Linked DNA regions of Cricetulus griseus. The protein of the gene in region 1 purifies or fractionates together with the protein of each later gene. This does not show direct contact. Links are inferred from orthologs where the notes say so. Each region holds a gene or a part of one and is shown on either strand. Other genes may lie near its edges.

Region 1 (3,520 bases):
AACACTCCCTTGCTTGGTGCTGAGTGATCTTAGCCACTGCCATACTTTAAATTGCTACTTTATGCTGACGCCCCTTGTCCTCACAATCTACAATTATAAGAGCCTATGTTTCTCAGATTGCTGTTGTCTGTCATCCTTGTGTCTTTGCTTAGGTTATGGCCTCTGAAGAGGACAATTGAAAATTGCCAGCTTTTTGCCTGAAGCCAGTACCTTCTGCTTGTTCAGCACATTCTGTACCACTGAGCCTGGTTTCCTCATCTGTAAGATGACACTGATATAAATATGTTACTTTGTATTCCCTGTCCTTTATGAATTGTTACAAGGATCATATAAAATTTTAGATAGTAAGAATAGTGATATTCTACATGTAAGTTGCTTATATTAGGGGTCTTGGGGAAAAAAGATGAATACTTAATGGGTAGTTGTTTAGTTGGGGAACATTGTGCCTAATAAGCATTATATGTATGAGACAAATAGCATAGTCATAGGACATAGAGAGCTGTGTTCCAATAAGGGCCATAGCCTCTGGTCACAGATACTCAAAGTCCCAACAGGAAGGGAGCCAGAGGATCATCAGTCCCAGCCCAGTGCTCCATTGGCCTCTGCTTTCCCACTGATTGCTGGGGACAGGGAGGCTGGAGAGTCTAGAGAGCAGCCTCCTGGAACATGAGCAGAGCAGGGCAGTGGTGTGGAGGGGCAACACCAGGGTCCCCAACAAGCCATTGAAACTGGTCTTAGGGTCTCTTTACCCTACTGGCAAGCTTAGTTTGATGGTTCACCAGCTTTAAGGGATCAAGATTGAATTAGATGGAGACACACATGCTTCTTTTGACTTTATTGGTAGGTAGAAAGGATTTTAGACACTATAAATATTTCATAAACTGCAGCTCCAAGATTACAAAAAGATCAAAGCCAAATTTGGCCTTGGGCTTTAGAACTGACACTCAAGTCACTGTAACAAGCCAGTGTCCCTAACATCCTGGATAACTCAGGAAAGGCATGTTCATGGATGTTGCAAGCCGTAGCATTTGCAAGGGTCCGTCTCCCTTCCAATGCCTGCACAGTAACAAAAGAGCCCAGGACTTTTGCCACTGAGATGGCAACGTGTAATGGCTTCAAAGCCGGCCCCTCTGCACCTCAGGTGCCTTCTCTAGAGCAGATACAGGTCTTCCTGGACTGCAGCACTCAACACTCAGGTAGTTTCCACCACTGGGCAGTTCCTGGTGAAAGCAGCAGCTTTAACTAATTTTGTTTTGCTGGTCTTCATTCCAGAGTCTGCTTTGCCAATGAAGGGGGTGGGGGTGTGGGTGGGGGATGTGGGGTTGCTGCTTATGGAACTCAATAGGAAAATCCAGTAAATCCCTCTTGTGACAAGGCCTTTCATGTTCCCAGCCCACAGTTTATCTGCTGCTTTACTGAAGTTCATCCACATAAACTAAGAAAAAATTCTATTTTTGTTTTATGTGTATGGGTGTCTTGCCTGCATGTTAGGTCTGTACCACATGCATGCTTGGTGCTAAGGCCAGAAGAGGGTGTTGGCGTCTCTGGACTGGAGTCAAAGATGGTTGTGAGTTGCTATGTGGTTGCTGAGAGTCAAACCCAGGTTCTCTGTATAGCAGCCAATGATCTTAACAACCGAGTCATCTCTCCAGCCCCCCATGTCAACCACTTTGCACTGCCCTCAAGCGGGAAGGACACCATAAGCTCCACTTAAAAGTACTCATTAGAGTCAGGCCGTGGTGGCGCACGCCTTTAATCCCAGCACTAAGGGGGAGAGGCAGGCAGATCTCTGAGTTCGAGGCCAGCCTGGTCTACAGAGAAACCCTGTCTCGAAAAACAAAACAAAACAAAAAAAACAAACAACAAAACCAAACAAAATGTCCTTGTTAGAGACTGAAGGAAGCTGCCATTCATTCCCACCTGTCCTCCTCCAGATTGCCTGGACAGAATGAGCTGTAGGAGAAACAGTAAAGGTCCTGCTGGACAGCCATGAGCAGCCCTGGGGCTCCCTGGGGGCCCCCAAGGCGAGGAGAGAAGGCCACACTGGGAATGTTAGCCTTGGAGGTGGGGTATGGAGAAGGTATGGTTCTGAGCAGGTGTGCGTCATGGAGGCTCCAGATTCTGGTGTAGCAGTCTTGGCCCACTAAGAAAGAGGAAAGACAACACAGCGGGTTAGTAAGAGAATGCAAGAAAGTTACGGCATGTAGGGCTCCTTAAGACCTCGAAGGGCCAAGTGATTGTACTAAGCCCAAACACAAATCCATGGGTGGAAGGTATTTCTTAAAATTAAGACCACAAGTTGGTCTTCTGCTCCTGAATCCTAGCTAGCTGCAGGTGTTCAAAGTGACGAAGATGTACTGGCTGGCTGACACAGCAGGGGCTCAGCCGGCTCCCTGGCTCATGGGTAGGGAGTCTTCTCAAGTGGGAGTCAGCCCACCTGATCTAGATGCCAGGCAGCTGAGTTCCTTTCGATGAACTAGCCAGGAAGATCTCTCAACTTTGTTACATCCTGGCAGAGCAGATAACAGCTATTTCTGGTTGAAGAATTCAAGCTAAAAGTCTGCGGGACTCCTAGTTCTGAGCAATGTGGCATGGGACACCATGGATTGTGGCAGCCCAGATGCTGTATGCTCTTAGAGGTCTGTGGGGGCTTTGGCAATCAGACTCTGATTGAGTGACTGTAGGTACTTAGTGTGCCTTGGCAGAGGATGCACTTGGGGTGTGTGGTTCACTAGTGCAGCTGTGCAGACACCGTGTGGGGCTCTCAGCGGGCTCATCTTTAGTCTACCATCCAGCACATGAAAACTCTTCTGAGATGAAGACTCGAGGCGCACCATTTTCAGAGCAAGCCCAGTGCTAGCACAGTAATAGCCCCCAAGAATTTAACAGGGAATGAGTACTGTCTGTGGCGCCATTAACACATGCCAGTAAAAACTGAGACCATGTCAAGGGCCTCCTGTTCCATATGTAGAAACACTGAATTTGTTTTGTGGCCTGGAAATAGTATGATCTGCAGTTACTTCAACTCCCTCAGGGCTTAGTGGCCAGATAGCTGCTGCTCACGGGGAATGTGAAGGGGCCAGGATCCAAGCACTTTAGGTACCCTTAATTTCTCGGCATCCTCTGAGGGGAATGTGAATAGAATGGACAGCTTTTAGACAAGACGGTGCCTGATGGGATCCCATTACTCAAAGAGGCCTGACCTCCAAGCCAACTCAGTCCCCAGCTGCTGTGTCCGTCCATCACCTGCCTGTTTCTAAGGTGATGCTGTCAGTGGCCCATAATTCCCATTACTTATACCACTTTCCCCCTCTGCTGTTTAAGATGTGAGCACCCTCACAGACAGCATTTGATGGATGGGATCGCCCCTTCCCCACACACCTGCCACTAGGATTCCTTCCTCCTCATGCACATGCAGGGGCAGGTAGGCATACTCATTCACGTGTCCTTCATACTGCCTCACACATTTGGTGGCCCTCAGGTCCCACAGCTTGATCTGGGAGAAGAAGCACACAAAGGG
Region 2 (3,822 bases), on another chromosome or scaffold:
TTTATTAAAGTAATTTACTTTCTATTTCTACCGCTGATCTCCCTACTTTGTTGTTACAAAAGTGAAGAATTCCCGTGAGAAAACAGGATAACAACACAAACAAAATCCAAACAAAGGACAAACAAAGGAAGAGTTCTGTAAGGAAACTTTTACTTCAAAATGAATTGGCTGGGGATATGACAAGGGTAGAGCAGCAGCAAGGCCACAGTGCCATGCCCAGCACTGAAAACAAATGCAGACACATTCATGAGTTCACACACTGAGACAGCCAAAGCCAATGTGTGGCCACTGCACCTTCTGAAAGAAGGCATGTTTCTTGTTTTGGTTTTTGGTGCCAGGGATGGACCAGAGCCCTATGCCCGACAGGGAAGTGCTGAAGTGCTGAGCCACTGAGCCACTTTCTCCACCAGGATGAGCTGAATGAGGTACTTCTAACTCCAGTGGCAGGATAAACTTCACCTTCCCCTCCCTTCTCCCTACAGAACAGTGCTTTTGTTTGTTTGCTTTATGCTCAAAGACAACTTCATTAGTGTTAAAGAGAAAAACACAGTACAGGTGGAAATCCTGGCAGACACCAGGAGATGGAGGAAGGCTCTGCTTTTCAAGTTTGGCAAGGAGTAGAAACAGCTTATGAAAAAGGAAAAAAAAAAACATCCCAAGAGTGGAAATATGCTATGAACTGAGGGAAGACAGCCCCCGCCCTCCACCAAACAAACCAGCTTATAACTGCCCAAATATTCTCTCTTCTGCCAGTATCAGATTAAAACTTGAGGTTTTGTGGCAGTAAATGTTAGTGTTTTCAACCCGTACATTCTGTCATCAATGGTCACATTCTCATCTAAGTTATCAGAGACCACATCCCAAGGAAATAATTAGCAAGTAAAACATGAGATACTAAAGTGCAGAAAGAACGACTTAAGAGAGAATCTTTTCCACAATATTCTGGAATCTGAAATTTGGCAAATTTAAGAAATGTTAATTCTTCAGAAAATGTTTAGTCGAGGAAAAGGGTAAGCATGCTTTTGGAAGCCCTTCCCCTGAAAAAAGATCTAGTCAGGGGCCAGCTTTCCTTGTACACCATGTGGCTATGGTATTCCTAGATCTTTGAGTTGAGCTTTCTATTTTGCCTTATGTCCCCTAAAATTTGAAAGTGTGATAATACTCAGGCATTTCCCAAGTTGTAGCTGACTGAACCACAGGATCAGGATTTACTTCCTGTAAATTTTGAGAGAAGAGTAGGGCAGGACCTGCACATGAACACTTACCTGTCTCTAGTAGCTTTGGCAAGTTTGTCTTCTGATTTCCGATCGTGTGTTTCTAAACCCAACATGAAACTCCCTCGTCCCAGCTGGGCTTCTGACTGCTCTAACTTTTCAGACAAATCAAACACCTGGCCAGTGGTATAGTCTGCATTCTGTGGAGAAAATGGTGTCATGTCATTTCACAGCATAGGCTCATCATGAAAATATTCTGTTTTTTTTCCAGGGCTAAGCCTGCCTTCAGGGACATGTAGATATAAGCAAGCACTCCACTACAGCATTATACTCTCAAGCCTTTGTATTTGTTTTGAGACAGGGTCTTGTTAGTTGCCCAAGTTGGCCTTACTCTATTGAGGAGCTGGAACTATAGGTATACCACCCATTCTGTCCAGCCCCACACCCCCACTGCCCAAGATTCTACCCACTCCCCCACACACTTGCTTTTATTTTTGAGACAGAGTCTCTCACTACAAAGCGCTGGCTGTCCTGGAACTTACTATGTAAACCAGACTAGCCTTGAACTCACAGAGATCTGCCTGCCTCTGATTCCTAGTGTTGGGAATAAAGGTGTGTACCACCATACCTGGCTAAAAACCCAATTTTTTTTTTCTTTTTGAGACAGGGTTTCTCTGTAGCCCTGGCTGTTCTGGAACTTGCTGTGTAGACCAAGCTGGCCTCTAATTTAGGGATTCCCTCTGCCTCTATCTCCCGGTGCTGGGATCAAAGGCATGCGCCACCATGCCTGACAAAATCCACTAATTTTTATGTAAATTAATTTAACATTCTATATCTAAATAATGTAAAGATGGATAGACAGTGAAGAAGTTAGGTCATAGCTATAAAAACTGCTCCTAAAATCTACCAATTTGATTTTAAAATTTTAGAACCTAATTTCAAGATTAAATGTGTTATTTTTTCCTTTGCTTAAATCAAGTTTTGTCATTATGAAGGCTATGAGGAATGCCTGGACCACGCCTCCTGGAACTCTTAAAAATGGAAGTAGGTGGCAATGATTTCCACCTTAAAACTCTAGGACTGTCCAGGGCACCTAAGAAAGGCTTAATAATTATTAGCTAGTTTTGTGACTGTTCTTATCAGAGTATTGCAATATGTCCTCATTCATACCTACATTTGAGGATCTATTACACATACCATTTCCAAATATGTATGTATTTTACAAATCACCAAATTACACCTCCAGGCTTAATTGTAATATTCTCATTTTATTTGTTTTGAGACAGGGTGTCAAATGACTCAGGCTTGATTACAGGCATATACCACTATGTTAGCAAGGGCTAACTGTAATATTTTTAAAAAGCTGCTATGAGATGTCTTTTTAGTTTTAATCTAAAACTGGCAACTATAAATGTAATCAAGGCAGTCTTGACTATAGTATGAGTTCCAGGCTAGTCAAGGCTATATATAAGGCAAGGCCCTGTATCAGGCTGGTGAGTCAGCTTAGTAGTAAAGGCACTTAATAATTTACACTCATCCCAACTATTCATGTCCTCATATTGCAATGCTGGAATACAGGGAAAGTCAGTCACAGGACTAAGCAGGTATATTCAACTGCCTTTATTGCTATTGTCTTAGAGTTTTCTCTCCCTGCCACCAGGTGTCACTTCTGACTATAAATATATTTGTCTCTAAGGGAACAACATACATAAGACACTTAGCAGTGCTTGGCACACGGGATACATAATATTTTCTAGTATGATTGCTTTCCTCCTTTATTTTTGTTTAAAACAAGATGGCCCCATGTGGCCCAGGCTGGCCTTTAGCTTTCAGCGTGGTGAGGAAGACCTGGAACTCCTGATCCTCTTGACTCAACCTCTCAAATCACAAAGACTGGCATTATAGACACACGCCACTGTGCCCAGCCTGCTCTCTTTTTAATTCTGCTACTTCTAGTAATACAGATCTTGTCAAAATTATATTTAAAATAAATAGGGCCAAGGGAGTCTTTCCAAGAATATAATGCACCAAACAAAACACTAGTAATTATTCATCCAGACTTCATTGTAAGCCAGGCACTTGCTAACTTTGTTATGACTTATGTAAAGTACCTTAGTGTACTTAGTAATACTTACAGTGTCACTGCCAACATTTTACACCAAGGCTCAGACACTAAAACTGGATGTGAAGCACATGCCTATAATCCCAGCACTCAGAGAGGGTGGGGACAGAAAGAAGTTCAAGGTCATCCTTGGCTACACAGCAACTGCAAGGCCAGCCAGGACCACAGGAAACAAAAGCTGCCCTAAGTTTTAAATATGTACCTATTAAATATATATCCATGTAATAAGCACATTAGATTTTAAATGATGTATCAGGACACACTGAGTTAATGCCTTTCTTTGCCTGGTATTTATCATCAAATTGATTTCCACGACCTCCTTCTCCAGCTTAATCCCCATGCTCCTCAAAGAGTTGTTTTCACACCAGCCCAGCAGTTAGCCCTTGCCTTGGCCCAGTCACTCATCAAATTTGTTGCTCTGCCCCATGACATGTCTTATGGATGAATATGTGATCTAAGCAAAGCTGAGCAAACACAGGAAACATG

Evidence for each region.
Region 2: the proteins of Dcaf4 (region 1) and Cops5 purify together in Homo sapiens (affinity purification with mass spectrometry; 4 studies listed by BioGRID and IntAct, counting the BioPlex papers as one, with this or other methods). This does not show direct contact. The link is inferred for Cricetulus griseus from reciprocal best matches to the Homo sapiens genes DCAF4 and COPS5.

The regions. Positions count from the first base shown.
Region 1 is NC_048598.1:120,188,296-120,191,815, forward strand, and holds the end of Dcaf4 (DDB1- and CUL4-associated factor 4), read right to left. Parts: intron 3,497-3,520; coding exon 3,382-3,496; intron 2,144-3,381; coding exon 1,911-2,143; 3' UTR 821-1,910; downstream 1-820. UniProt on the Homo sapiens protein: May function as a substrate receptor for CUL4-DDB1 E3 ubiquitin-protein ligase complex.
Region 2 is NC_048595.1:150,156,425-150,160,246, reverse strand, and holds part of Cops5 (COP9 signalosome complex subunit 5), read right to left. Parts: intron 1,415-3,822; coding exon 1,266-1,414; intron 1-1,265. UniProt on the Homo sapiens protein: Probable protease subunit of the COP9 signalosome complex (CSN), a complex involved in various cellular and developmental processes.